Linked DNA regions of Alligator mississippiensis. The protein of the gene in region 1 interacts with the protein of each later gene in a biochemical or structural test. Links are inferred from orthologs where the notes say so. Each region holds a gene or a part of one and is shown in the gene's direction. Other genes may lie near its edges. The genes, in order: KIT, KITLG, LYN and YES1.

Region 1 (7,850 bases):
GAGGCACAGAGGCTGACAACAGCAGTGGGTCTGCCAGTGAGGGTCTGTGAGCAGTGGCGGAGTTCTGGGGGTGGTGGTAGGGGTCCAGCAGGCACAGGGTTAGCAAAGGCTATATCTGCACAGCTCTGGCTCTGTGCCCTGCTGCCAATTGACAGCACCATTGGGGCCCAGTGTCCTGACTTCTGTGGCAGGCCCTCCTTCTGGCCCTGCCTCCAAATTTCAGTAGCCCAGTGGGCCAGATGGAAGGGGCTCCACAGGATGGATCTTTGACATCCCTGAGCTAAACTAACATCCAAATGGATTTAATTAGAGATTAGGTACCAAAATAACACAAGACCTTTTCTATGTTCACCAATCATTTGATGCTATGACCGTGGTCAGTGATTTTTCTAGATTTAGTAAGGTGTTTACTACAATGAGTAGTCTAATTGATCTGGATGAAAACATTCCAGGAGTTCCCTAAATCCATAAACCTAGCATCACTTGAAGAACTGTGACATTGGTCCGGCCTCAACTGGAGTACTGCGTCCAGTTCTGGGCACCTCACTTTAAGAAGGATGTGGCCTGCCTTGAGAGGGTTCAGAGGAGGACCACCTGCTTGGCTGGAGGGCAACAGGGCAGGCCCTATGAGGAGGGTCTGAGGGACCTGAACCTGTTCAGCCTCAGCAAGCAGAGGCTGAGGGGGGATTTGGTGGCTGCCTACAAACTCATTAGGGGAGATCAGCAGCAAATAAGAAGGGTCCTATTCCTCCCAGCACCACCTGGGGTGACGAGGAACAATGGCCAGAAGCTGCTGGAGAATAGGTTCAGGTTAGAGATTAGGAGGCACTATTTCACTGTCAGGGTAGCCAGGATCTGGAACCAACTTCCTAGGGAAGTGGTCCTTGCTCCTACCTTGGGTAAATTCAAGAGGAATTTGGATGAACACCTGTCCGGGGTTGTGTGATCCCAGCATGTGCTCCAGCCAGTGGCGGGGGGGTTAGACTAGATGATCTATTCATGTCTCTTCTGACCCCTAACTACTATGAAACTATGAAACGTGTATGAAATCCAATAATGAGAACAGAGGTAGAAGAAGTAGGCACATTCATTCATCATTATTATTCCATTATACTTGGTAACTATGGGTCCAATTCCTTGACCTGCTCTTGCTCTGGCCATTTACAGCAATGCAGCAGAAACATGGAGTGTTACCATTCTGATTTGGTGGTGGCTTTATGTTTGTGTAAATGACTGTCCAAAGCATAAGGCCATGCTGAATTGGACCCTGTCTACTTGTTGCTGTTCAGGACCCAAAATAAAGTCAGTGCCCATAACTGACATAAGACTGACAATAGAAGAGGAATGGGGAGAAACCTGTCAGAATGAACCCTTGAGAACTTTTTTCTGAGATCTTTATATGATGCATTTTATACCAATTGCATCTTGAACAAATTAAGCAAGAAGTACCCAAAAGCACTATAAGAATTTCTGAAGAAACAAAGACACTCCCAAAAATATTTAAAACAAAGAAACATCTCTTAAGATTTCTTTTGTCACTTTCCAATATTAATTTTGTGAGGCTGACCCCTAGTAATAAATGTTATTTTAAGGAATGCTATTTGAGAAAAAAACTGTGTATGTACTATTAAAAAATAAAACTGCATGCTACTTTTCAGGCAAAGGAGGGAACCACCCATCAAAAGAGACTAGCTGTCTAAGATGAAAGAGAGCAGAGAAATGGTGAGAGCCATTTTAAACATTCCACACAAGACTTTCATCTAATGTTGGACCATATGGGACAATGCTATTAACCTTGGAGAAATCTGACAATGGTGAACAAAAATTAAAAAATAATATATTGCTTTCAGTAGCTTTTCTGATCTTTACTGACACACTTGAAAAAGTCTACATTTATTCTGGTTGCATCTCACTATTGAAAGTTTTGTCCTCTCTCTTGCTCTAAATCCTTATGCAAACAACAAACAAGCTTTCTTTTCCTTGACAGTTTTCTTTAACACTCTTTAATTGTGTCTTCCTATCTAGCACTGCATTCTTTCAGCTATCTGGTAGGAATTTATTCTTTGAATGCATATAGGAACTCATACGTCTAGAGTCACATGCTGTAATGTGCTTTCACCCCAGCAGTTTAAGAAAATGACTGACAACCAACAGCGTATAAAACTGGGGTCAGCAGCCTATGGCCCGCAGAACCACTGCATCTGGTTTGTAGACATGAGGGGCTTTTGCTGTGTTTTGGCATAAGGGGAGCTTCTGTGCAGGGATTTGGTGGCTGGGGGCTTTGCCTGTGCAGCAGCTGGGCAGCAAAGAGAAGCTATGGTGATGGTACTGCAGGGACAGGAGTAGTGACTGCAGCTGCAGCAGTGGCAGTGCAGGCTGGGTGGGAAGCTACCTGCTGTCAGAGCTAAGCCCCCCACTCCAAAATGTTGCCCACCCCGATATGAAAGGTAGGACATATACTATATTATCTCTGAATGATATGCAATTTCATTCTTGCTGCTAAGTATAGATTTATGTATATTTCTATGGATGCTAATTAATATATAAGCCAAAATTCCAATATTTATGAATATATAATTATATATGCAAGATGTTTACATAATTATACATTGTAATTCTTTCTCAAAAGAGTTATCTCCCTTCTTTTTTCCCCTTTCATCTTAGTCAAAAGTATTTGATTGCAAGCTATGGAATCATGGAAATCATAGAAAGGTATGCCTGGATGAGATCTGAGTTCAGCACTCCTCCCCAAGCAGGAACAAGTATATCTAGATCAACCCTGACTAATATTTGTCTAACTAGGCTCCCTCTATATGTATGTATCACACAATTACCCAGTTAATTGTACAATTTAGACTGGCTACCTGTACAAATTAACTAGCTCACCCTAAAAAAGTCCAATCAGCTATAAAGTTGTTGCTGGAAAATGTGTAATAACTTTATAGCCGGTTTGTATCCAGCTTCAGTTTGCAATTTCAGTAGCAGGGTCTGCCCCTGTGGCTAGGAGCCATATTAGCTGATGTGGCTCCCAGCCAGAGGGGTGGACCATACACAGCCAGAGCTGGGAGTCCTGCAGCTGAGGGGACTCACAGCCCCAGCAGTTCCACAGATGCCAGCATGGAGAGTCCCACAGCTGATGAGACTCTGCTGCCCAGCAGTGCTCCATAGCTTCAGACTTTGAGTCCCTGCAGACCTTGTGGTAGCTGCGGGACCCTCAGCCCCAGAAGCCATGGGACTCACACTTATGGGAGAGTGTTGCTTGCTGGTGCAGACCGGAATGGTGATCACAGGATCCCCCTGTACCAGCAGTAAGGCATGAGAGGTTCTGCTGCTAGATCCCACAAGCATGCCTCCTGCCATACATGTGTGGCATGGCAGGAGGTGCAATTATATGGATTGCTCAGCAGATACTACCATGCCTTTGCCTGAACATCTAGAGGGGCTTTCACCTATTTTACTTACAGGGACTCTGTAGTTAGCCTGTTTCACTTCTTATCTATCTTCCTAGCTAAAAGTTTTTCCATCTATGCTAAATCTCTCTTGTCGAAATTAAGCTAAAATGACCATATTTCCTGAGAATTGAAAACTATCCCTTTTTTAACAGCCTTTTACATATTTTGACTACGACTGTATTCAGTCCCCCCTCAATCTTCTCTGTTTTGATCTAAATAAACCCATTTTCTTCAGCCTTTCCATGAAAGTCACATTTGCTAAGCCTCTAATCATCCTGAGCTCCTCCCAATATGTCTACATCTGGAAGGGCAGTGTTGTGAGCTGGACACTGTACCTCAGCTGAGGCCTCAGAAGTTGGGAGTCTGACTTTATGATGTCTTACCTGGACATACTCCTATTACCGCATCCCAGAATCCTCACATCAGGTTTTATTTCTTGCAAATGAAGTAAACTGCAGCTATTGTTTTCTTTTTTCTTCCCTCCTTCCCTCAGCCCAATCCTACTCTGACCTCCCATTGCAAGGGTTGCCTGGAGAAGGGTTTCACCCAGCTGCTGTGCAGGTTTTAAGCCTTCTCTGCCCGGGAATCTGATCCCACTCCCTAGTATTTGAGGATTTGAACAACACATCCTAGGACCAACATGCTGCCTCTTGCAGTTGTGGGATCACCTCACCAGATCAGTAGTTGCTAATTCGGGAGAGCAATGATTTTGGGCAGAGGGCCACTTACTGAGTTTCGGAAAGCCATCGAGGGCCGCATGACAGGCAGCCCAGGGCAGATTAATATTAATTTTCTACATTTTTTAGGGGCCCCGCGGACCGGATAGAGTGGCTTGGCTGGCCGCATCCAGCCCCCGGGCCGTATTTTGCTCACCCCTGTGCTAACTGCACCTTGGTGGTGGGGAATGCGGCCTTTCCTCTAGCTCAGTGGTTTACAACCTTTTTTTATGTGAACCCCTTTGGAAATTGCGGACGCCTCTGACTTGTGTGGGTATTCTCATACTTATGACTGATCACAGTAATCTGTTGGGAATCCCTTAGACATAGTCAGGGGATACCCCCTCCCAGGGGTCCCTGGACCACAGATTGAGAACCACTGCTCTTCCTCAAAAGAAACGCCAATGACTGCTCCATCCAAGTAGAGCGCACATGCCCTCTTGTCTGACCAAGGGTGTTGCACTCCAGTAAAAGATACTGGATTTACCCAAAAAATCTTGTCTGCCAATGATTTGTGAAGAATTTTCCACGCCAGATCCTCCACTGCCGCCATCGGCGGTGTGGGCAAAGAGTTGCTAAACTCAATTTAAACGTGAGGTGGGGGGGAGCGCAAAGCCAGCCCGGCAGCCCCGAGACAATCCGGCAGCAGGGCGGGGTCGCGGGAGGAGGTGCGGAGGCGGGGCTGGAGCTGGAGGAGGAGGAGCAGGAGCAGGAGCAGGAGCAGGTGGTGTTTGTTGTACTCCGACAACTGCCCGTGGAGGCGCCTGTCCGTGCGGGCGCTGGGGACCCGCGGCGAGGCTGAGCGCGGGACGGGCGTTATGGAGGGCGCGCTCCCTGCCCGGGGGCTCGCACGGCTGCTGCTGCTGGTGGTGCTCCTGCTGCGCTTTCCAACAGGTGCGACCCTCACGCCGGGTCCCGGCTCGCCAGCTTGGCTGCGCTCTCGGGGAGCCTCCGCGTGGGGCGTGCAGGGAGGCAGGAGCGGGTGCGCCGCAACTTTCCCCGCTCCCAGCCCGGGGAGGGAGCCCCGGGGTCCTCGGCCCGGCCCTTGGCGCCACTGCAGGCTGGAGCGCGGCCGGCCCGGGGGGCATGAGCCAGCCGGTCGGGGGCTCCTCGGGACCAGCCTTGGCTGGGGGCGGGGGTTGTTGTGTCGCTCCCCGCGCGGCTCGTGGGCACAAAGCGCCGGTGTCCAGTGAATGATAGCGCCGGGAACAAGGAGATCAAGTGTCCCCGCGGGCCCCCCCACCCCGGCAGGGCGGAAACATCCCCCTCGGGGTGGCTGTGCTCCTTCCCGGGGCCACAAGGGCTAGGAGGGCTGGCAGAGGCCATCTAGTGCACTCCCCTGCCTGAGGCAGGACCATCCCTAGCCAGATCTTGGCTGTCACTTGTCCTGGCTCCCCGCAGCGTGTCCCCACACCAGGAGCTTGCAGGCTTGGTGATAGAGAGACACTGCTTGGCAGCTGGTCTTTTCTGGTGAAAGTGCCCCACGCTGCTGGTTTTTAAAGGAGTTGTCCTTATTCTTATGGGTTTTTTAGCCCCGTTGAGGGTGCAACCAAGAATGGTCCCAAGGGACAGCCGCTGTGCTTGCATAGGGAGGGTTGCCAGACGGGGTCCGCTCACCGTCACCGCTGCGTTGCCATCTTTTCTTTGGGTGGCTGGGTCGGGAATGGTGATGGGCTTGAAACAGTTGCACTTGGGGAGTAACAAAGGCATCGTGCTCTGGGGCCAGATGCGTGTGTAGGAGCTTGGCTTCAAAGGCCCCTCAAAGGCTGCCCACAAGTTGATCCAGCTGTAAACGGTCCCTAGTTGTTCAGGGTGAGTCGTCTGAGTCATGTGATGCTAAGTCACATCACTATCTTCTGTGGACCTGTTGGCTGTAGAAACGGTTGCGCTTTACTCCCGCTGGCCTGACGGGCTGTTTAATTTAGTTGGACTTTTATTTGTACATATATGTATGTATTGGCTTTGAGTTCTGCATTCCTCTGAGCAGTCCTGCAGATGTCACTGAGACGGCTCGTGAAGGAGAATCGGTATGAAGAAAGGTTGCAGAATCAGTCTCTTAACAGCTTAAGCATGATATCACTGCAGTCTACCTGTTGATTGCATAGGAGGTCAGACGATGACAAAATCAGTCCAAGCCACTAATAACACCTTTGCACCCATAATGTTGATCTGTTGGGCTGACATTCACCTTTCCCTCCTCAAATTCCTTAGTGAAGGAAGAGAACAGGAGGCGTTAGTGAACCAGTTTTGTCTCTGGTATAATTGTAATGATACAGACTTTTATTCTGTACCAGCAATAGCCTGCTGCATGATTTTTGCAGAAGGTTGCTTTCATTCTCAGTTTCTCCACCTATAAAAGAAAAATAATCATTTGAAGATGAGGGTGAAAGGGTCATCTACAGTCCCCTAGAGGATCACCTAGTCAAAACTTTTTTAGCTCTTTTCACTTGTAGGTCTCAAGGTGCACTGCAGTATTATGAGAGCCGGGCATTAATATTTGAGGAATTACTCCCACCTGGGAATAAATTTGGCCCACTGTTTGCACCAAAAATGGTAACGTGATTCCTTAAAAATACTTGCATTACTATTTTAGATGCATCTAAAGATGAAGGAAAGCAATGAACGGTGATGTTAAATGAAAGGTGGTGGCTCTTACTCTCAACTCCTTGGAGCAGAGGTTTTCAAATAACTATTTCAGGAACAGGGGGAGTGTAGTAGAATTTTTAGCCACAGGTTTCATATATTGGCAGTAAATAAACCTAATAAAATAACTCTGGTAGCTGCAGTAGTTGGTTTTGTATGTTTGCAAGCATTTTATTGTGGGATGAGAGATGGGGTAAGAATGGATGCATAAACATGGACTCCTGTTTTATTTCATGATAGTCTGTGATATATATTGTGATATATACTTTCAGTTAAAAGATGGATAAAACACATGTGCATATATAAAACCTGCTCAGAGTTGCACTGTGTTCCCTGAACAAATTAAGCAACAGGTCAAAGGAGCTACAAAAATGAACAAACAACTCTCTTACAAGATTTTACTCCCTCAAATTTCTTACAAGGTATATAAAAGGCAGCTATGCTTGACTTCCCTCAAGATCTCTTACCTCCAGATGCCATTTCTTGTCCCAGCCCCTTATGCAGTCTGCTGGTTGTCTCCCGTCTTCCAATTAGCCCTCCCCTTCCTCAGGAAAAGCCTGAGAAAACAGGTCTGTCTTGTGACATGCCCTAAAGGTCACCAGATCCAGGCTCTAACATAGAAAGTACAAGGTTTACTTGCACTCACCTTGAATGGCAACCTTAGATGGATTTGCTCATACCAATGAGAAATGAACAGTCTAGTGTGTAAGTCTCTCTGTAGTAAAGACATGTATCTTTGGGCAAAAGTATAATTATTTCCATATAGTCATATACACATTTACATTAGATCTAATGTAAGTAGGTCAGGCATTTGTTTCCTTAATGCCTGTCTCTATTGCAGTTAAAGAATGAATTGGTATCATGAACTATAATACAGTTTCTCTTGTCAAACTAAGCCATTTACACCTTGTCCCTTGCATCTCACTATGCTGTCACCTTTTTCTTTTCCTCCATTTTGTAGCTTGCTCTTTTTTGTGAGGTTTGTGAGGTGTTCTTGAATCTCCTCTCATTTTCTCCCTCCCTCCCTACACCTCTGGTG
Region 2 (7,924 bases), on another chromosome or scaffold:
AGCATCCCCAGAGCTATTGAATTAGTCTGATCACTATTCTAAGAATTACGTATACTAATACTATGAATCTATTTAACTTTTACTAGTAGTATTTGCCCAGAGCACTATCGCTGTCACCATTCAGTCTAGCTGAATTCTTACCTAAACTTAATATTAGAATTTAGGTGGTAGCACTAAAGTCATGGCTTGGACATGAATAGTTTGTTCTCTGAAGAAAGTATTTATTGAGTACAGCCATTACAATTTTTAATCCAGAAACGACAGAAAACTTTGCCTAAGTTAATACATAACAGAAACTTTGCATAAGTCTTGCATGGGTTGAAGGGAACCTGAGAGCAAGTAGGGAAGGAGAATAACCCCCACTGCCACCACAGCTCTGGGGCCATAGGCTCTGACTTATTTTTGCTGGGAGGTGGGGGATAGTGGGGCCTAAGAAGATGGACACATGGAAAGTTGTATTCATTCCAGGTGATAGCCCTCTTCCCAAGGGGAGCCAGGATCCTTGGCCCCCCCATGTACTTGGCACCTTTGTTCTTCACCAGTTTCACATTGATGTTTATGAACCTGCCCCTGCAGTCAGTCAGATCCTGCTATATTATTCTTTGTGGATGAGATATTCACTTGTGTGTTCTGCAGAAATACTAGGCGCCCATGAGTACCATTAGTGGCCCCTAAACAGTTTGGAAGCCCGTCATCCAAAAGCCAGCTATTATTTCAGATGTGGTAGCTACATCCATGACTTTCATTTATAGTGTTAGGACGTAGTTACACCGTACAATTCTCACACACCAACTTTTGGACATTTGGCCAGTGTTAAGGTTAGCATGTGCAGCCCTGACCTGCCACTACAGAGCTGGAGAGCATAGACGTGAGTAGGAGCTTACAAGTTTGCTTCATGTCTGCCCAGCTCACTGGCCCTCTAGCTGCAGTATATATCAAAGGGAATTGGGCACTGGCAGTAGGGGAGAAAAAGGGGTAGTAGACTATTGTTCCCCCCTGCTGCCCAGATTGCTCCTCCAACTACTTAGATCACCACCCCACTCATAGGCAATGACTCCATGGGTGCTCCAAAAAAAATTAGCAGGTGCTCAGCACCCATGAGCCACATCAGGTCAGCTGGGTTGAAGTAACATGCTGCCTCTTCTGGGCATGTGCAGTGCTCAGTGTAGGAATGCAAAAAAAAAAGAAGCACCCACCGGCAAAAAACAAAGTAGATGCCTATGTGCAGTGTGTAGAGCCAGTTTGGTGTATGGTGCACCCAGCATGGGGACTGGAGCTAACATGAGCACTGCATGCAGCAGGCAGGTCTAGTCCAGGGCATGGACTGCATCTGGCACCCACACTGGACTGACCCTGAATGCTGGATCCAGGGCCAGTCTGTATCAGGCCCTTGGACTATCCCTGCATGCTGGATCCAGTGGACAGGGCCAATCTAGCATGAGCACCACATGCAGCATATACCCCAGACCCATCCTGCCCCCGGGCCAAATTAATTTAACACTCCTGCTTTAGGGGACCAAATTTCCCTTGTCCTGCCATGGTTCCTGGAACCCAATCAACCAACGTTAAAACTGTCACATCTTCCCAGCTTTGTTGAAGGTATAACGAGAAAATAAAACCTTTGGAGAAAGAGAGCTGCTCATATAGGCTCACAGAAACCATTCAGGACATGCTGCATAAGTCTGCATTAATTATTGCTGTAAAAGAAAACCTAAATTCTTTCCCCCACTGCCCCATACTATTCCAAGATGGAGTGCGATGATGCAGTTCAGTATGCAGACAAATGTAATTTTCTATAAGGTGAGTTGCTACTTTGACAGATTGTTCTTCCATATTTTCCACTGCTTCCTTCTAGGAGGCTAAACCTGCCATATGTTTTCAAGAGGAAATCTGCCATAACATTTTCATTTCCTGGCCCACAGTATTTGTCAAATGTGTAAGCTGTAGATGCAACACTGACTGATCACCTCTAAGTGATCTAGGAGACACTTTCTTTCATCAAGCATAGGCATTGATATTTTATTTATAGGCTTCCTCTCTCCTACACTTTATCTTGTCTGTTTAGATTATAAACTCTTTGAGGCAGAGACTGTTACTATGCGTGTGCTTAGCACAATGGAGCCCTGCAGGCAGAAGAATGAGGCAAATAACAACTCTATGGTACTCATCACACTAGCATCTGACAAACTAAAGCATGTAATGAATTTGTCCTGCATTCACTACTCTGAAGCAGAGTGGTAGTAAAGTTCCAATTTCATGGATTGGGAACTGAGGCCCAGTCTCTAATTAGATGACTTACCTAAAATACAACCCCCCCCCCCAACAAAAAAAGAGGCAAATCTGGGAATAGATCCCAAATTGCTTATATTCCAATTCAATGCCATAACAGACATGTCCTTCTCTTGAAACAATACTGTGCTTTCTGAAGTCTTGAAGTGAATTCTAGGTTAATACTAGAGAAACGTCTGCAATGAACTGATCTGTTACTTCTTCTAGTGGCACTTCTGATCTCCCTTGGAGAATAACTTGACTTCAGTAGGTTATCAGCAGGGATCCTGATTTTCTCTGATTAAAAAAAAAATCCCCAATTTTTGGTTTAAAAAAGTAACACCAAATCCACATTTTTTCATAAAACAGTGTTTCATTTAAATCATGGGAAAAAGTGGCGGGGTTACTTTTTTAACTGAAAATCGGGGATTCTTTTTAAATCAGAGAAAACCAAGATCCCTAGTTATCAGCTAGTTTTCTTTCTCTTCAATTGATGCTAAAGTGATCTATGGCCATCATTAAAACACATCTCAGGAAATGTTTATCCCATAAATTCTACCCCCCTTCTAATGCTCAAACTCTGGGACCCATCATTTCAGACGGAAATTATGGGATGGAGTGCCCAGCACGACAGACATATGGCAATAATCAATAGAGTCAGCTAGCATGCCAGAACTGATCCCATCATTTTAAAATCCTATGCATTTTGGGTGTGTGTACATGTGCGTTTTAATGTGCAGTAACCTATTCTACTGTGTATTAAAGCATCACATCAAAAACAGTGCTAATATGCAGTAGAATTAGTCTACTGGGCATGTAGCATCTCTAAATAGGCATTGGTTTTTGCTACTGAACATTTGGGCAGCCTAGTGTGCCTTTATGTAGTACTCCATATTAGGCAGTGCAGACAGAAGTGAGTGACAATTTTTGCCTAATCTGGCCATAAAAAGCAGTTTATAGACATGACTGAACACAAGTGCACAGCTGCAAACAGCTTAAAAAATGGCGGATAAGGTGAAAATCTGACCTCCTCATTGCATGAGGTATCAGATAAACATGTTACAAAACATAGTGTCTTTTGTAAGGTGTTTCTGTGGAGCTCCCTGCCTGTCTCTGTTTCAGAACGGGAAAGGGGAAAGTGAGCAGAGGGAGTTCAGCCTGTGGGTTTATCAGCCCCTCCCTGAAGTTGGGGCAGGTTTATTGTAGCTCCCCCAAGTTGTGGGGCTCCAGTTCACTTACCCCACCCTTCAGCACCAGCTGGGGCACCCCAAGAACGAGCTTCACCTACTGCCTTTCCTCCCCTCCCATTCTGAAAACAACAAGCACTGGCAAAGAGCCCTGGCCACTGCTACGGGAACCTGGCTACAGGCTCCCCTCCACCCTGGAGCCAGCAGTGAACTTCTGTCTGGTCTGGGGGTAACCCTGTAACTCTGAACACTTGGCAAAAATTGTTCTGAGTTACAGCTGGGAGCATAGCTGACCCGAGCAAGGTGCAGGGCCCTGGGCAAATCAGCCCATCCCACCCTCACTCCAAACCTACGTGCCCTGGACCCTGTTGGCGGTGGGGTGGGGGGGTAGTGAGTGGCTAGATGCGAAGCTGGTGGTGGTGCCGAGTTGCCACAGCCGCTCCACTGAGCTCTGTGGGGCCCCCAAAGTGTGGGGCCCAGAGCAGTTGCCCCGTGCCCTGTTTTGCTCCCCACACTAGGGACGGCCCTAGCTGGGAGCTGCACTTCTGTCCGCACACAGCGGTACTAAACTGAATGCTCAGTAGCAAATGCACATTCAGGACTTTGAAAGTGTATTCTGGACCTACCTGCAGGCTCCCCTAGAGATGGGCCTGCTTAATTCAGTGCTGCACAGCCTTTTTGGACTCCAGGCAGTCCTCGGAAAATGTCACCTCTACGTTTTCAGGAGCGGAAAAAAAAATAGCAGAGTGCTTCTTTTCTTGCAAAGACCTCAGGGGAGGTGTGTGTGTGTGTGGGGGGGGGGGGGGGGGGAGAAACCACAACAGGTTGGGTGGGTTTTAACCCTTCAAGATTCCTGCTGGAAACCTCTGGGCTTCTGTTGCCACCCAGCCCAGCACTGCTGCCTGTGTGTGGCACTCCTGAAAGAAGTTCAAGGCACCTCAGGGCACCTTGAGTATCGCTGTCTTCATGACTTCTGCCACGAGAGGTGGGCAGAGGAAAGGGCGCTTGGCTTTTCTTATTATTAACTGGCTCGCTGCCTGGCTTCTTCTTAAACATGTCATGAAGAGCCGGGAGACGGCAGGCAGGGCGTTGCCAGGTGGGGACGGGCATGGGGCTCCTCGCTGTGGGGCAGCCCGGCTCTCTCGCCGCCCGCCCTCAGCCCGCTCCTCAGGCTTTGGGATGCTCGAAACTTTCTGAAAACTTGTTACCAATTCGGTCCTGGGCACCGGGGGAAGGGGCCGCCTGGGGCCGGGCACGAGCGCGGTCCAGCCCAGCCCAGCCCAGCCCAGCCCCGGCGGCGCTCGGGACTAGGGCGGGCAGGACAGGCCGCGGAGCCCCGGCCCCGCGGGTTCCCGTCCCGAAGGGGCGTCGCAGCCACGCGCTTCCCCCCGCCCCCAGTCCCGCGGGAGGGCGGGGAAGGGCGGGTCTTGCCGGGGCTGCAGCCGCGGCGGCGGCCGAAGGCGGCCGGGGTATAAAAGGAGGGCGCGGGTTGCAGCCGCCGCCTGTGCTGGCGCGGCGGGAGCGTGGAGCGCGTGGGCACGGGGTGCGGGGCGCCGGCTCCGGGCACCGCCGATGCGTGGACTATCCGCTGCTGCAACATGCCGGAGCCACGGTTCCGCTGACTGGAGTTAGCACGCGACGAGCTGGGCTGGACTGCAGCGCTGCCTTTCCTTATGAAGAGGACACAAGTGAGTGGGGGCCGGGCGCACGTGCCCTCCCAGGGCTGGGGCGGCGCGGCCCGGTGGCGGCTCCCCCGGGCACGCACGGCCGCATACACATGCACATAGACACACGCACAGACGGGCACAGGCACACACATAGCCGCACACAGTCAAGCACGACACAGGTACACGCAGACAGGCACACACACATAAGTGCACACACGCACACAGCTTGACAGGCGCACGCAGCTGACAGGTACACACACACACTGTGCATACACACATAGGTGCACACACACAGGCGCTGACAGGTGTAGGTGCACACACGCGCACACACAGGTTGACAGGTACACACACACGCCGGGACGACTCTATTCCCTGCCTGGACCCTTGCACCCCCAACCCCGCCGCGCCGCGCCGGGTGCCGGGCTCGGGCAGCCCCGCCCGCCTGGCCCGTAGCTGCGATGCGTTTCAGGCGCTGGGGCATCACCGGGGCGGCCTGGCGGAGGCCCTTGGCTTTCCAGCGCGAGGAGCTGGGTGGGACCGAAGCGGCGCCTCCGCCCCGCGGGGCTCGGCAAGTCGGCAGCCGCGGTTGGGAGCTCGGCTAGTGCTTTCCCCGGGGCGAGGCGATAGCGGCACCAGGGCTTGGCAGGTCCTGGGAGCCTCGCACGGGACAGAGCTGTTGCGAGGCTCCCTACTCGTGTCGCTACTCGGGCTGAGATGAGGGATGGCTTGAAGAATTCCCTTCTCGCCCTCTGCACAATGCAGTTGGGAGAAAAGTTCCAGTAAATGGGTTGGGATGAGGCTCTGATCGCTGACGATTTCCGCTAAGAACCTAACCTTAATAAATAAGTTACATATGTTGCCAGCCATGCCCTCATTAGATAGGTATGTGCTAAACACAGTGGACCTAAAACGCCAACTAAAGAGACAGACATATAGCTCAGTGCTATTCTGATTAGTTTCATTCAAGCAGCTTGTACCATACAGGACTCCGTATACATTTTCCATAGCTGTTTGGCATTCTTCCCCTTGCCCTTCCTCACCCTAGTAATAAAGGATTGCTCTGTACAGATGTGGGACTTTGTGCTATTAGGTTGTGCATGAGATTACAATCACTGCACTGTGTATATTTTCAAAAGGGGGAGGGGGAGCATAGTTGGTGAGAAAGGAGCAGGGAAATAATTTTACAAGCCCCCAAAGCTCTGTCAAGGGTAATGTCTGAGACTGCAAGATAGTAAGTGCTTGTAAAAGTCCCACTGCCTTCAGTAAGCATCAAAAGTGCTCAATACCTCTAAACTAGTAGAAAAAGGGAAAGAAATACTAACAGTGTAACAGCAGCCCCAGTACAGCTAGGGGCTGCTTTTGTTCTGGATGTGCTGCTACCTGTTTCTTCTTATCTGAATGCTTCCTAATTTGGTCCTGGTAGCTCACTTAAGGTATATAGCTTAAGGTTTTGGTGTATAGCTAGGATTAGTACAATAAACTAATATTAAAGACGGAAAAAATAAAAGGAAAAATAACCAGAAATGTGCCTAACTGTTCTACTAAGCAGTCAAAATAGTCTACCAAGTGGACTAAGTAGTCTCTCAAAAGGAGGGAATAGGAAGCCCTTGTCTCATCGGGCATTTAGACCTGGATTGGACAAAACCTGGGGAAATGTATTGCATAGAGAACACTTGTGTAGCAGCTGTAGAACTCAGTGGTCTGTAATTACAGCAACATCTTATCAAAATGAAAACTCATATAAAATGAATATCTACAATAAAATGATCAGCTAACATTGCTATAACTAACACTTGAGATCATCGGGTTGGCTTTCACCCCTTAGCTATTGTTCCAGCACTTACATACTCAGTACAGATGATTATTTGGAAGTGTTTCTTTGCAACATAAGAGTAGAAACTTTAAAAGTGTATACCTTTATTTACAATGGAATTGCTAACAGCAAAACACTAATTGTAACCTATTCCAGTTTACTCTTGGATGCGTGTATGGGGAATAGGAATGGTTAAAAGTTACCAAGTAAGGTGATTTGTGATCCTTGTCCAAGGACATGTTTAACTTACAAAAAATGTCAGTTATCACTTATGAAGATCCCCCCCACACCCCAATTCATAAATGCAGGGCAAAGCAAGCATAGTGGTTCCACCAATTATACCCGAAAGCCAAGCAGTCTGGCATTCTGCATCATATGGCTTAACTCAGGGGTTCTAAAAAACATGGTCTATCCAACTGTTTCTATCACAGCAGTAAAGCATCTGTCAGCCTTCAAGCAGTTTCGCTTCCTGCTTGTTGGAGGTAGTTATACAGGTTTGGGTTTCTAGAGCTTTTTTCTCAGCTATCTAATCTTTAAAAAAAACCATACAAGAATCATTAAGCCTCCTTCAAAGTTGCTGCATATTCCTTCTAACACTTGTGATCTAAGATGAAGGGATAGCAAGCACACAAGAAGCCAAAAACAAACAATGAATCATTCTGAAGAAACTGGAGTATGAGAAACTAAACAAAGTACTTTTCATAAGAAACATGAAGTGTTACATGCAGAAGAAGAAAGCAACTAACACAATTAAAAGAGAGGGGGTGTAACCAAAAAGTAGAAATTAGTATTTTGATATTGCTTTATTATTCCTTTCCATGTAACTGGATTATGTGTGTTGCAAAGAAAAGGAATGGAATTGGCAATCTAGGAAGGAAGCTGCCCACTAGATCTTTAAGAAGCAGATGAAATTCCAAAAAGTTTGAAAGGTGCTCCCTTAGCGGAATAAATTAAACTGATCAAGATCAAACGGCCTTAAAAAACTATAC
Region 3 (7,343 bases), on another chromosome or scaffold:
TAAATCCAGGAGTCATTAAGTGTGACATGGTTTTTTATTCTCGAGGTGGAGCACCTTGCATTTCACCATATTGAATGCCATCAGCTTTTCATCTGCCCACCTTGGAAGCCTATCAAGGCTGACCTGGATCACCAGCCTATCCTCCAGTGTGGACACTCTTCCTCAAAGTTTGGTGTCGCCAGTGAACTTGGCCAGTCCACTTTTGACACCAGTGTCCAGACTGTTTATAAAGACAGTAAAGAGTTACAGGTCTGAGAACGGAGCCTTGGGGGATGCCACTGGTCACTGACTGCCATGTTGATTCAGTTCCATCAACTACTACTCTCTGGGTCCAACCTCGGAGCCAGTTCCCCAGCTATCAGACTGTGGAGTAGTCGAGGCCGCAGTTGCTCAATTTTTCCATAAGGACATCATGGGAAACCAGGTCGAAGGCTTTTTTAAAGTCCAAATATATGACATCAACCTCTTCTCTTTTGTCCAGGTGATACGTCACCTGGCCATAGAAGGAAATGAGACTGGTCAAGCAACACCTACCCACAACAAACTTGTTCTGGCTATCCCTCAGAATGTAGCCTTCTGTTAGCCTGCTTGTCTGTGAGAATACAGATGTCCCACCGAGCTGAGACTTCAGCAGCAGAGACCCTGAATTTGCCAGTGGGCAAGAGTGCTGCGGGCAGAGGAAGAGAGGCAGCAGAACTCCCTGGGTTCTAGAGACACCAAGCCTCACAGGCCACGATTTAACCCATCAGGTGGCATGTCACCAAGGCAATATGCCTTTTATTTAAGGCAATAATGCCTTTTATTGGATTTGTGGGCCATTTTATAAAAGGTTGAAATATGTTGAATTTAATTTTATTTCCCATCCAGCCTTTAATTTCATAGCATGTTTTAAGCATTGTCTTTATATTTCTTTATGCTCTGCATTGCTTTTGATCTTGTGAAGAATCTTTAGTCTTAGCCATTCTTTGATCAAATTGTAGGGTTTTTTCCTTCCTTTTTTAATTCAATAACTAGCTCTTCAATTATGGCCTTGTCTAAACTATTTTCAGGTTCTGTAATAGGGTTTCACTTAGCATTCAATGCTTTTCTTGCTTTTCTCCTCCACATGTCCCTGTGTGGGCAACTATATGACATGATATAAACAATGAAGATATTAATATCTGCACTGTACATTTTATTTCCATTTGACTTTGGATGGCCCTAAAAGCATAAGAACAATTTTGGAGTATGAATAGTTTATTATGATACACAACCTTTTTTTTTTTTTTCAGCATGTTGTTGATTATTTAAGGTTCCTCTTTCATGTTTTCTCCCTATAGTTTTTTTCTTTTTTTAATTTAGATCTTCTGACTAGCTTCAGGTCTGTGCCTCTGAGATGTGGAGTTAAATCTAAGAAAAATAATTACTGAGGTCTTTGGTCTTTCATTTATATAAGCATTTACTTGTTTATGTAAACAGATTCTTGTGTACGTAGAGTTCTCAAAAAAGTTACATATCTATCCTCTTTATCAGATAGGAACTATGTCACTTTAAATGGGATTTTTTTTCCTGATATGGATAACAATCTTTGTTTGTTCTTTTTACAAAATACAAAATATGTATCTGAATCCAAACCCTCTTCATTTTAGTCAGATCTTCCTGAATGGATAAGAAAAAAGTTTCTGATATATCTCCAGTATCTTGTACCTGGCTGCAACTTTTTAAGATTATTCAGCAGGTTTTTTTTCTTTTACCAGTTTATTCAATAAATTACATTTCAAGAAAATAGTTTCTAAGTTCTCCTAGCCTCTATTACTGGCAGAGATGAAGAGAGCTTTTAAAATCCAGGTCTGTTTTATTTACATGAATTTTCTGATGCGAAAACTTTTTGCAAATAGAGTAAGGAAAAAATAAGGGAAAGAAGAATGTGTACCATGCACTGATTTCCCTTGTCATAGTCCATAGTCTATTTTGGCTAGGGAGTCCAGCCTGTAGAGGAAATGGGAATTTATGAGGCCCTATCCTACAGTTCCATTCTGAGATTGTGACAGAATTTCAATTTCTAACAAACAATTTTTTGGTAGCTGAGTTTCTATCAAAATATGAAAATTTTCATTAATATTATAAATGAAATTGTACTTGTTTTGATTTTTGTCAATTTCTACTGGAGAAGCAGTCTTCACCTCTAGTCCTCTAGTGCTTGTGGGGGGGGGGGGGAGAAAAAAGAGAAGAAAAAAGGAAGTCTTTCAATTTCTGTTGACAGAATTTGAAGGAAATCCCTTTGTGCAACACTTGCAGAGATTATTTTATTACAGACTCTGAGTATGCTAACTGCATTATTTTAAATGCACTTTATGTTTTGAATAAAGCAATTATTCAGTTCTACCATTACCAAAGTAAAATAAGGAATTGTATAATTTAAAATGTTTTAATGAAACAACTATCTTTATCACTATCCATATATTATTTTCTTTTAAGATCTTGTATCATACTAGAATAAAATAATCAATAAAGACAAAATATTGAGTTTTCAATAGTTCAGCTCTGCTTCTCCTGTCTAGCTTGGAAATCTGCTGGGCACATGCCAGTAATTGTATGGATCCAACTTGACTTTCTAAGACTTCCAGGAATGTCATTGCTTCCTTTGGATCACTGAAGACTTTCATTCCTGTAATGCTAGAGAATAAACTCCTTGTAGCAAAACAGATATCAGGAATGAACATTGGTACCAGTCCTGAGTTTCTTCATTGCAGAAATCATGGCATGTGGAGAGAGAGAGAGAGAGGCAGGAGTACTTGGTGCAATCTATATTACGTGGTCACTTGGGACTGATCTACCAATGCTGTAAAGCATGCTCTTTTGCTCAGGTATTTTAGGCTAGGTACAGACATTCAAAAAGCCCAAGGTGGAATTAATCTAAATTACTCAGTTTTCTGTAAACAACAAAGTTTAAATTGGTAGCGAACGGAACACATATTTGCCCGTCACTGGGGTGACAGCCTTAAAAAAATATTCACCTTTGTGCCAGCTTTGTATCAGCCCCTAACACCACTTGGCTAGTCCCAAGATTTGGGTCTGCTGTATTCCCCAGTTTTAGTGCTGTGCCCCTAAAATTCTCACTTGCAAAGTCTCTTTACTACTTTTAACCTCTTGTCTGCTCAGAAAGTAGACATGTCTTTAGTTTGTTGAATTGTGGCTCCTCAGTGCCCCACCAAATTAAGGGGGGATTTTGGTTTTACCTAGTGTGTAACAATCAATGCTTGCAATGCACAGCAAATAGGCCTGCATCCAGCAGGGGGTTGGACTTGAGGACCCTTAAGGTCCCTACCAGCCCTGAATTTTTTTATGCTCAATGAAGAGCTGGCTCCAGCTATTTTTTTTCCCTTTACCTACCCTCTTCTTATCAGACCAACTTTTTAGGACAGTATTTTTCAACCTTTTTAGACTCAAAGCATCTCCCATTGGCCTCCTGGTCACCTCAGAAAATACCAGCTCTTAGTTTTCACTTGGTTTTTTGGACTATGGAAAAATAGTAATGGCAATTTTTCTGCTGTGGAGAATTCAGAAAGACCCCAGCAGGTCTGGAGGTGTTGGACAGATTCTTCCTTGAAACCTCTGGGCCTGTCTTGCTAGTGGTAGCTAGCCTGGTTAGCCTTGAAGTGGGTCAGAAGGCAACTTAGACAGACTTTCAGGCCAGGTACAGACATTGTACTTTTACTGCGGTTGGAAACTGGGCTGTACCCGTAACAGAACAGAAGTTCGGCAGGCAACCAGTGGGCAAGAGGGTTGACTGGCATAAGTGACTGGTTTCCAATAGACCATAAGCGACCAATAGCTTGGAAACCAGTCTATACCCATAACAGAGCAGAAGTTCGGCATCTGTAATCGGGTTAAAAAAATGGCCCAACCTGGGGTAAGATTTGCCCAGCCCCCCAGGGCGAATGTGCGTCCTGTTCGCTATAGGTCTAAACTAGGCTGCTTACAAAGCCCTGCCTCGCTGAGATCAGCTCCCCCTCGGGCTGTTTGAATGTCTGTACCCAGCCTCCCAGAGGAGCTGGCATTAAGTAAGATGCGCAGGGGGAGCCCAAGCCTGCGTGCGCCCACCTGCACTTCAGCAGGTGCCCAGGAGCGGCCCCTAAACCTGGCAGCCCCTGAAAGGCTCTCGGGGCAGCCGGAGCTGGGCTGAAAAAAAGGGGGGCGCTTAGGCTCCGGCAGGCGGGAAGGGCCGCAGCGCTGGGGCCGGCGACGCCCCGCTCCGCCTGCCCTGCCCTGCCCTGCCCCGCCCCGCCCCGCCCGGGAGGAGACCAGGCACCCTCGGCCAGCGGCGCTGGGCGCGGGGAGAGCCGGGATCCCCGCCGGGGCGCCCGCGGGGGAGGGGGCTGGGCCGGCCCGGCCCCGCCCCGCCTGGTTTGTGGCGCCGCGCCAGGCCGGGGCCGCGGAGTTTGATTCCTCCCCCGGCGCTTATGCAAATCTCCCGGCAGCAGGAAGCGACCGCCAACTCCGCAACTGCCCCGAGCGCCCGTGGCTGCGCAGGGAGCGGGCGCGGACAGACGCCTTCCCCGCGCCGGCGGCTCCCGCACTCGCGCCACCGTGGAGCCCGGGACAGTGAGTGTCGGGGCCGGGCGGGCGGGTGAGCGGGGCAGGCTCCGGGGAGCCCTGCCTGTTGCTTTAGCAACCGGGTGTCTCCAGTGGGACTCGCTTGGGAGTGCGCGCGCGCGTGTGTGTGTGTTTGTGTGCGCGCGCGGTGGGACCCGCCTTGGCGGCGCGTCCGCGAGCAAAACAGCTTGGGCGGGAGGGAGCCGCGCCGGGCTCGGGCTCGGGCTCGGGCTCGGGCTCGGGCCGGCGAGGGGCTGCGGCTGCTTTGTTAGGGCCCCGCACCTGAGCGGCACCCTCCGCGGCAGCCCTCGGCCGGGCGAGGGAAAGGAGAAGTCGTGCGGGAGCCATCTGGTGCAGGCAGAGCCGGCTCGAAAGAGGAAGTGCGAGGCTGACTGGGCAGCCTGCGCCTCTGCCTCTTCGGGGAACTGGGCTTTGAACATCAGATAAAATTAAAAAAAAAAAACCAAGAAACTTCTGGTCTGTTATTTAGAGCAGTGGTTCTCGACCTTCTTTGTACCAGGACCCATTTGGAAACATGGATGGCCAGTTCCGAGCCGGTCCGAAGCTTAAGTAGAAAACAGCCCCCTGGCCCTGGCCTCCCAGCCTGTGCGGTAGGGGGCTCCGGAGCAGCCCACAGCTCTGCCAGCCTGCAAGGTTTCCCATGGTTTTCTCCTTTAAAGGAGAATCCATTTGTAAAGTTTGTTCGGGACCCTTTCATATAGTCTTCTGACCCACGTTGGGTGTTGCGACACGCAGGTTGAGAAACCGACTTGGAGGACACCAGAGCTGTTTTCCCGGTGGCTAGCTTTTCTCCTTTTTTCCGAGGAAAGGGTGTTGCCACTGTCTATACTCTTCCACCCCATAGAGTCCAATTTTTAAGCAAATGAAAGTATTTTTAGGTGAGAGGCTTTCTAAAACCAGCTTTGTGTTTCCTACATGGCTCCTTCTGGCATACTTGTGTTCAACAACACCACCGCTACTACTAATTGAAAACGAGTTGGATGGAGTGCCAGGAAGCACGTAGGACTACTGAGTCAGTTTCCTCATGATCAGGGTTAGACGCTAAGAAGTAGGCACCTCACCAGGTCAGTCCTGAAGGCAGGATTGTTCCCAAGGAAACCATCCCAGCCAAGTGTTTTCTAAACTGCTTTTGAAAGTTTCCAAGCATTCCACAGCTTCTTTAGGGACAACCATGCAGTCACTCAGCAGATGGCTGGTAATGGATTCATGGCAGTCACCACTAGACTTCTGGCTCAGATTGGACAGCCATCTGGGGCTTCGGCCCTGAATAACCTGAAACAGGTCTTCTTTGGGAGTCATTCATAGCCTGTTCCAGTGCCTGACCACCCTCCGAATCAGAAAGTTGCTCCAGCCTAAATTGCCCCTTCTGCATCTTGAGGCCATTGTTGCTAATCCTGTCACCTTCAGCTGCAGAGAATGCCCATCCTCATGAAAAATAATCATCAGGCATTTGAAGACTGTTATCAAATTCCTTCTCAGTCTTCTCTTCTCCGTACTAAATAACTGTAGCTCTTTCATCCTGTCCTCAAAAGTCTTTCCTCCCAGATCCAGAATAATTTTTGTTGCCTCGCACTGAACTCTTTACAAACTACTTACATCTTTCTTGAAGTGTGGGGCCCAGAACTGAACACAGTACTCAGGGTGAGGCATCACTAGTGCTGAAGAGAGAGGAAGAATCACTTCCCTTGATTTGCAAGTGACACGCCTGTTCATGGGCAGATCTAGGACTTGAAAAGTGAGGGTGAAAATGGTGTAATAAGGATAGCATATAACAACGCATTTTTCTAGGTAAAAAAAACTAGAAGCTTTGCTAATATGCAAGGAGCCTATGGCTTTCTTATTCAGTTTAAGATATTTGGTTTTGCTTCTATAACTATTGGCATGTGTTAATTTGTTATAGCATATGTTATGTATTGAAAAACAAACAGGCAAGAATAATTAAAAGATCTTGTTCCTGTGGTCATTACAATTAAATGGACATCTCTTTCAGAGTCACACAACAAAATCAAGCTGCCTTAAGCATCTTGACAGTGCATCCAAGCACTGAAAGTTATTTCCACACATGAGTTAATGTTTCTAGCTAGGGTTAAAAATCATCTTTGGGGCTATGAAATAGGAACTACATTACATGGAGCCAATAGCAGGCAGCAGAATTACAGAAGAAAGAATTGCTTGATTAGTGATACACTGAGACCATTAAAAAAAAAGGAGAGAGGGTCATTAACACCTGTGAAGTGAAGAGTTTAGAAGGCATCAAATAGATTATAATGAGCTGTGAAGTCCTTCCAGTTCCAGGCAATTTGTTTTAAGCTTTGGGTGGAGCAGGAATCAAAGAGGAGGGCAACTGCACTGCCCCCCTTCCCCCCATCCACCCCTGCTGCTGTTGGTTTGTTGCAAAAAAAAAATCACCTCATTAATTCATATTCAGTTTATGGTCCACTGTAATTCTGAGGTTCTTCTCTTCAGAACTGTAACCTAGCTAGTCATTTCCCAGTTTGTAAAAGAAAAACATGTAGCCCTTTAGATAATCTAGAATTTGAATACAAACTATCTAGTGAATCTGATCCTGGCATCACCACACAAGTTACAACTGCTGTTTTTCAGCTCGAACTTAAGTATGCTTCTGAGTTGTTTAAAAGAAAAAGAAGAAGAAAAATGAAAATGGTATTGAGATATTGCATGTGTGTGTTTTCTTACTGGCTGCCATAATAAGCCTACTTGGTTTCGAAGGAAAAATATGTTTTTCC
Region 4 (7,925 bases), on another chromosome or scaffold:
AGGCGGGGGAGGGCAGGCCATGGGGTTGAAGGCAGCAGGGTAAGCAGATGTTGTGTGGGGCAGGCAAGAGCAGGGGCAGGCACTACAGGGGGCCAGGCACAGAGGGAAAGGAGGGTCAAGTGGTAGGGGGGAGGCAGGCACTGTGGGAAAGGGGCTGGGCCCAGGGTGCACAGGCACTGGAGACAGGGGGAATACAGGCTGCAAGGAGATCAAATGCTGAGAGGGACAGACAGCAGGAGCCAGCCACTTTACTCCCTTACCGCCTGCTCCCATGTTGCTGCAGCTGCTTGCCCAGCAGCAGTGGTGGGGGCACAAATATGAGACAACCCTGCAAAATCAGATTATATACATTAAAAATTATAACAAATTGATAAATTTTCCGTGTACAGAAGCTATTTATTGGGGGGTTGTCTTATATTCAATGTCATCTTTGATTAGCGTAAATATAGTAATTTTAAGCAAAAGTCAATGGGATGACCAGTTCTTTGAACAAAGAATCATCTTTTTGTTGTGTGATTACACAATGGACCCTGATCATTAACAAGGCTGTGATGGGATATAACAGCACAAGTAATAATACTATATGCATGCTTACAGTAAATGTTTGTATGGATAAGGCCTCCTACTGTAGTTGCTGCTCTTATTCTAGAGTTATTCATCTCTTCAGTGTCATTATATCAGAGGAAAACTGGGCATAATGTCTTTTGGATTCAGTTGCCAACAGAAATGTTGTGGCATATTTGTTCCTATATTTAAGTATTTTTCACACTTTATAAATATAACCATAATATTCATACATTTAGAATCCAAACAATACAAAACAATATCTATGATTCCAAGGCTGTACATCTACATTCAGGAAAATGCTGTGGATTCCTTTCAATTTTTATTCTGCTTTTAACTATTTCAAAGAAAAAGTACTTAATTATTTTGCAAATACCATGAAAAACCTGTTAATCTCTAATAAACAGCACATCGTTAAACACAAAATACCATGGAACAGAATTTCCCAGGAAAATATCCTGATAACATTTTAATTATTTTTTCTAAAGTGCACACTGGCACTTTTAAGTAGTCACAAGATCCAACGGATCTTCTATATCAGGTTTATATATATCATTATCAAAACATTTAAAAATACAAAGCTTTAATTTGTAACTAAAAACTCAAGGCCTGATTTTTAGATAGCACTTTGGAGCTGTATTTGGTAAGCTAAAAAGAATATTTGAAGATGTTTGTGCCCACATCATTCTGGTACCATTAAAACAACATCTTTATTCCTTGTTTTCAATGCTTGTTTTCAAAAACGATCCTTAAATGTTCCCTATGTGCATAAAGTGTAATGTGTTTTAATTTCTTCATGAATTGAATTTTCTGCCAAACTGCTTCAGAAATTTAACCCACTCTTATTTTTCAAAATCTCAGAATGGATGTTTTTTCCTTAGTCACTCATCAGTGACCTTTCATCTTTTTCTACATTTCCTCTCTGTTTTTTTCTGCTCTTTCTCTTCCTCAGAGACATACTTTATGCCTTCATTATCATTTGTATTGGAAAAGTGTCTAGACGATTTAGTCCTTCAATTAAGTAACCTAAATTTTTTTAAAAATCATTGTATAAATATGTAATTACATATTTAAATATAAAACCCAGAAAAAATTGGGCTAATTTTAAAAAGTCTATTTTTACGTATTTTGTATATGTGATATTTGCATATGATAACTATGCAGAAACAAATACTGTATTTTTGCATCTACCAGGTATGTGTGTATGTACATGTATCTGTATATGTTTATATAGCCATATATCCAGCTGTGCATCTAAAAACAGAGGCCAGGTTTTCAAAACCTTATTAAATTTACACTATGAGAATTCCTCCAAAATGCTTATTCTCATTTTAAGGGGTGATGGTCATCAAAATGCATGGGAGGATGCACTGAGCATCTGAGTCTTTTGACCAAGTTTCCAATAATGAGGAACTTTCACCATGATTGGGTGAATTAATAGAACTGCTTTCATACCATAATCGAGTTACCTCACCCCTGACATCTTATGTTCAAACTACAAGAGTTCACAAAAGCCAATGCACTCCTTTAGCTTAATCCTAATATTCACCAAGACAAAATTATTCTGAAGTGTATGCTAAGGATATCTGTATTAAGAAGATCTAAGATTTGGTCTTTTTTAAGATATGTAAGTTTGCCCTAGTGTCTGTTCTGTAAAATTAACTATGCAGCAATGGTTGCCCATCTATATAAACATACAGTTGAGCCCTCAGGCCAAATTCTGTTCTTATTCAACTCCAGTGTAAATCAAAATTAACTCCACTGACTTGTGTTAACGAGACCAGAATTTTAACCAGGCTGTGAATACTCCTTAAATCAGTCATTGGCAATTGAGTCTGTAAAACAATCTTATTCTCGTTAATTAAAAATCAATTCTATATATAGGATGTGAATACTTGAGGGAGAGTTACCATAAATGAAAGATTCAACTAATTTTAAAAAGATCAGATGGATGAAATATATGTTGAGGAAATGTTTCATTCCAACATGTCAAATTGCTTTTCATACTATTATTTTATAAACTGCTTCTTGATACAAATGGGAAGGGTGTGATATAAACAAACTATGCACTCACATTGGTTTGAAATCACAGGTTGCAATTGTATACCACAACTGGCATACAATTTGTATTGGTGTACAATACAATGTAAATCACAAGATCATCTATTTAAAACATGAAAAATACTTAGCAGTGAATTAGTATGCTTATTATTACAGCACCTTCAACTTTGGAAACAAATGCTGGCCTGATACTGCAAGTACAAATACACGTATAAATTAGGTTTGAAAATAAGTACTCCTGAGAGAGACTGATTTGTACATGTGAAGCTGGAAACCTCACAGAGGTGGAAAGGGATCTTGGAGTCCTAGTGGCACAGAGGTGGAAAGGGATCTTGGAGTCCTAGTGGACTCCAAGTTGAACATGAGCCGGCAGTGTGACGAAGCCATCAGAAAAGCCAATGGCACTTTATCGTGCATCAGCAGATGCATGACAAATAGGTCCAGGGAGGTGATACTTCCCCTCTATAGGGCGTTGGTCAGACCGCAGTTGGAGTACTGCGTGCAATTCTGGGCGCCACACTTCAAGAAGGATGCGGATAACCTGGAGAGGGTACAGCGAAGGGCAACTCGTATGGTCAAGGGCCTGCAGACCAAGCCCTACGAGGAGAGACTAGAGAAATTGGACCTTTTCAGCCTCCGCAAGAGAAGGTTGAGAGGCGACCTTGTGGCTGCCTATAAGTTCATCACGGGGGCACAGAAGGGAATTGGTGAGGATTTATTCACCAAGGCGCCCCCGGGGGTTACAAGAAACAATGGCCACAAGCTAGCAGAGAGCAGATTTAGACTGGACATTAGGAAGAACTTCTTCACAGTTCGAGTGGCCAAGGTCTGGAACGGGCTCCCAAGGGAGGTGGTGCTCTCCCCTACCCTGGGGGTCTTCAAGAGGAGGTTAGACGAGTATCTAGCTGGGGTCATCTAGACCCAGCACTCTTTCCTGCTTATGTAGGGGGTTGGACTTGATGATCTATTGAGGTCCCTTCCGACCCTAACATCTATGAATCTATGAATCTATGAAACCTTTGGTTTATAAGCTTTCCTTTTTTCTCATTCTTGTGTTTTGTGATCATAAGGTTAGCTGCATTTGCAGGTGAACTCTCTCTCTCAACTCTCCTTTGTGGCAGACTTCCTTCCTTGCAAAGTTATCACTGTAAATGTGAAATGCTGATTCATGAGCCTGAGGTCACTGGAAACTGGGTGGTGTAGAACTGGATGTTACATGATCTTGAGCTCTTCTACTGTTGTGATATCCATCTGAACTGTCCCTAGTTCAGGATCCGGGGCTGCAAGCAGTGTCCAAAACACAGCAGAAGGAGAACTCCAGTGCTTCCCCCTCTATCCCCCAGTGGTCTCATTTGCCTCACTTGAACAAATTTTAAAAGGTAACTTGCAAGCAAGCAAGCTTGCACATCTGCCCAGGTTTACTCATTTGGAGACTCCCTCGGAAGGGACTCAATTTACAGCTATTGCGCAAGCCACTCTCTTGACAGAGCCTGGGGTGGGGGGGAAGGATTTCAAATCTGTTTTCTGAAAGTCTTCTTGCTGAGCCAATCCTGGATTGCCCCAGAGCCAGTCCTCAATCCTGGACTACCCTGGGGCCAATCCCAGACTGTGCCAGGGCCGGCCCTGGACTACCTGGGGACAGGCCCGGACAGAACCGACCCTAAAGGTGTGCGGGGCCTGGGGCATATCCGCCTGTGCAGGGGCCAGACATGGCGAGAGGCCGAAGCGCAGAGCTAGTGGCACATGGTGGCCACGCAGAGTGGTGGTGGCCTCAGCACGTGCCAATGGCACTGCCCGCAAGGCCTGTACAGCATGGGTCACGGGGCCCCCCCCCAAAGTGTGGAGCCTGGGGCGGTCGCCCCAATTCCCGAGCCACTCCAATCCAGGGTCAGTCCTTAATCCTGGACTCCCTAGGGATAATCCTGGACTCCAAAACCATTCCCCGACTGTGCCAGGGCTAATCCTGGACTACCCAGGGCCAGCCCTAGAGTCAATCCCAGGCCCAATCCTCTATCCTGGACTACCTGGGGCCAATCCTCAACCCCGGAGTGTCCTGGGGCCAATCCTGGATGATTCCCGGGCCAATCCCGGACTATCCCAAACCAACCCTAAGCCAAATCCCGGGGCCATTCCCCGGCCCCAGGGAGCGGGAGGCAGGCAAGCGCCCGCCGCCCGACCCCGCCCTTCAGGGCCCTCGGGCAGGAGCAGCGCCCCCTGCGGGCCGGGCCGGGCGAACGAGAGCCTCCCCCGCGCGTCGGCCGCCGCCATGTTGGGCCGGCGTGTTGCGCTCGGGCCGCACTGAAGGGGCGCCGCCGCCTGCCGGGAACAGGGTGTGAGCGCCGTGCCCGGCCCGGCCCGGCCCCACCCCTCCCCGCCGCCGCACGGTGCGGGGAGCCCGGCGGCAGCGGGAGGAGGCGGGGAGGCCCCTCGCTCCCTGTCTCGCTGGCGGAGCGGAGCGGCCGGCTCCCCGCGTGCACAGCCCAGCCCAGCCCAGCCGGTCGCGGCCTTTCCTCCTCGACCCAGCGGCCAGAGCAGCTGCAGGTGAGGCCCCGCTCCCCGGGGAGGCCGCGGCGGCGCTAGGCCCCGCACACCGCGCCCTCCTGCGGGGGCGCCTGGCTCTGAGGAAAGTTTGCGGGGAACTTTTTTTGGGGGGTGCGGGGCGCGGCGGCCCCCGGGGCGGCCCCGTCTCGCGTGGGGGGTGGGGAGCCGCGCCGCCCGCCTGGGCTGAGGGAAGGCGCCGCGCCTCCTCGCTTTGTGCGCGCTGGGTGGGTGGGGGCCCAGCTGCGTGTCCCTCCCACCCGCGCCTGGGGCGAGCTTTGCTCTTTGCCTCTCCCCCCTCCCCCGGCTTTGTCTGTCTTCCTTGGTCGCTTGTGCTGCGTGTGGGTTTCAGGACTGGGAGGCATTGGCACATGCTGCCCAGAGAGGCTGTGTCATCTCCATCCTTGGAGGTTTTTAAGACAAAGCCTTGGTGGGGATGATGCAGTGGGGTCTGGTCCTGCTTGGAGGAGGGGAGTGGGGGGGTGGGATTAATGTCCCTTCCAGCCCTCATGTGACGGGTTCAGGCCTCGGTTGACCCGGGAGGCGAAGGCAGCTCTCTGTAAAAGCGTCCTGTTCTGTCCCAGCAGTGCTGGAAAAGGCAGACATCAGGGAAATGCATTTTTCCAGTCCTCTGTAGCCTGGTGTCCCTGCTTTCCTCCGGTAATGCATCTGTGCTCCCCTCTGTTCTCCTTGTGGCGACTTGTATCCGAGAGGCAAGGCATCTCTAGGACCATGCCTTTTCTCAGACCAGCCACCTGGCTGAGATAGTTGAACGTCCACATTACGAGATCTCTTGCCTTCGAAAGCTCGTCTATCGGGGGCGCAGTGACTTACAGGTTTACGTTTGCAGTAGTTGCCCTTTGTGGAGCCTGCTTGTTTTTGAAAAAAATCAGATGGAGAAAGCGTAGGCCCTCAGTCTTGTGGAGACATGTACTTGACTTTGCACCTTGTGAGTAGTCATCTATTGATGCATGGTCCATCGAGTTCTGCACGGGAGTGAATACCAGCAGGCTGGGGGCTATAGGCTGTACACCTTAGGCAACAAGTGCATACCGTTGTATTTATTTCGGTAATTCCAACTCCACATGTTTTGTGACCAGGGATATGGACCATTTTGCTTTGTTTGGGTAGAGTAGAATATTGTTCTAGAGAGTGATTTATTCAAATATACCATGCTAATTAAATATTAGGCAAGGTGTCCTTTTTAGGGTACTACTCCCCCAAGTTCTGTAACGTTAACATAGTGCTTTTTCATAAATTCTTCACGTTTTGTAAATTTCAAAAACAACTCCTTTAGTTAACAATATAACTTGGACCTCAGTCTTGCAAAAGCTTAAGCATATGTGTAACTTCATTTAAAAGTAGGGTCCAATGAGTCCACATTCACAAAACTAAGCAGGGATGTTAAGTTTTGCGGAGTCAGGGCCTTAGTACTTAGTACTAACGAGACAGTATTTGCAACATGAATGAAGTATAATACACGGATCAGAAGGGATTATTTTTCTCCCCAAAGCAAAAGACTACAGTAAACACGTTTACAGAAGGGGAAAAATAAAAGCCTGGGATAAAAGGCAGAAACTGATTGTTATGCGTCTTTGGTTGTTGGTTTTCATTACTTTCCATCAATTTAGGCCCAAATCCTGCTTTCACAGTCCCTTCAGCGGGAACACAGTTAGTCCTTAAATACCTTTAATTTGTATTTCTTATTATAAAGTAGAATTTATTCAATTATTTTTGCATAGTATTTTCTACCAAAATGGGATTTTGGCTTCTAGGGGAAAAATGTGTGTGTAAAAATATATATTTGAACGGTCAGATTATTTTATGTATTGTATATAGCTAGTGTAACTATAATAATTTCAGAGAAATCCAGAGCGGGGGGAAATGCCCCCTGCAACCCCACAGCTCCCAGGAGCGGGACCATGCAGGACAGCATGGTGTGTACACACACACCCACACCCACCCACCCCCTGTGGCGTGGCTCCTTCCCCTCTCCTCCCCACCCCAAGTCTACTGTTAAAGCAACACTGTTTGCAGCCCAGAGGAGTCCAGACCAGGGAGCAGCCCATTGTCTGGGCTCCTTGGAGAAAACTGAAGCAAAAGTTCCATGTTGGCACAAAGCTGCCCACATGTGCCAGGCTTCTGAGTCAGGAGGCAAGCAGGACAGTCTGCACAAATCTGGGATTTTTGCTTCAACTTTCTCCAATGGCTAGGACGCTGAGATGGCCAGGACAGTTCCAGATTTCAGAGGCTAAACCAGGACATATGGTCACCCTATATATAGCTCAGAAAAAATACTGCTTTTGCAGGGGTGTAGTATGTTAGAAGGTACTAAGTTAAAGTAGTTAGTCAGATGCCAGTTTTTACCTGCCATGTCATGTACCAAAATAATGTAAAACTACAAGAGAGTCTATTCCTTTAACACACCAGGAGGGCTTTGAGTGTATTGTTACCCATATTCATGTAACAGAACAAACAATACAACGTTTTATGCTCTAGAATAGAACCTTCTTTATTTTGATATGCAATATACTTCCAGCATCTCCAAGAGAGTAAATCAAAACTATTCACTGTGTTCCACTGTGGTAAATGTGTGTTGTCACGTGACTAGTGTACAAATGTCTATTTTGTGACAAACTATAAAACAAGCTCTGGTTATATAAACTGGCATTTAAGTGGTAGCATGACTTTACTGCTCTATACATTTCTATTTGTCTTTGGACAAAAGCAAGACCTTAGCAATAAATTTTCAGTCAGATATT

Evidence for each region.
Region 2: the proteins of KIT (region 1) and KITLG form a complex in vitro, tested with the Homo sapiens proteins (3 studies listed by BioGRID and IntAct, with this or other methods). The link is inferred for Alligator mississippiensis from reciprocal best matches to the Homo sapiens genes KIT and KITLG.
Region 3: the proteins of KIT (region 1) and LYN form a complex in vitro, tested with the Homo sapiens proteins (2 studies listed by BioGRID and IntAct, with this or other methods). The link is inferred for Alligator mississippiensis from reciprocal best matches to the Homo sapiens genes KIT and LYN.
Region 4: the proteins of KIT (region 1) and YES1 form a complex in vitro, tested with the Homo sapiens proteins (2 studies listed by BioGRID and IntAct, with this or other methods). The link is inferred for Alligator mississippiensis from reciprocal best matches to the Homo sapiens genes KIT and YES1.

What each region holds. Positions count from the first base shown.
Region 1 is NC_081825.1:59,919,945-59,927,794, forward strand, and holds the start of KIT (mast/stem cell growth factor receptor Kit), read left to right. Parts: upstream 1-4,850; 5' UTR 4,851-4,986; coding exon 4,987-5,062; intron 5,063-7,850. UniProt on the Homo sapiens protein: Tyrosine-protein kinase that acts as a cell-surface receptor for the cytokine KITLG/SCF and plays an essential role in the regulation of cell survival and proliferation, hematopoiesis, stem cell maintenance, gametogenesis, mast cell development, migration and function, and in melanogenesis.
Region 2 is NC_081827.1:84,719,640-84,727,563, reverse strand, and holds the start of KITLG (kit ligand), read left to right. Parts: upstream 1-4,922; 5' UTR 4,923-5,128; coding exon 5,129-5,143; intron 5,144-7,924. UniProt on the Homo sapiens protein: Ligand for the receptor-type protein-tyrosine kinase KIT. Plays an essential role in the regulation of cell survival and proliferation, hematopoiesis, stem cell maintenance, gametogenesis, mast cell development, migration and function, and in melanogenesis.
Region 3 is NC_081826.1:71,440,570-71,447,912, reverse strand, and holds the start of LYN (tyrosine-protein kinase Lyn), read left to right. Parts: upstream 1-4,336; 5' UTR 4,337-4,442; coding exon 4,443-4,584; intron 4,585-7,343. UniProt on the Homo sapiens protein: Non-receptor tyrosine-protein kinase that transmits signals from cell surface receptors and plays an important role in the regulation of innate and adaptive immune responses, hematopoiesis, responses to growth factors and cytokines, integrin signaling, but also responses to DNA damage and genotoxic agents.
Region 4 is NC_081826.1:89,119,757-89,127,681, reverse strand, and holds the start of YES1 (tyrosine-protein kinase Yes), read left to right. Parts: upstream 1-4,912; 5' UTR 4,913-5,166; intron 5,167-7,925. UniProt on the Homo sapiens protein: Non-receptor protein tyrosine kinase that is involved in the regulation of cell growth and survival, apoptosis, cell-cell adhesion, cytoskeleton remodeling, and differentiation.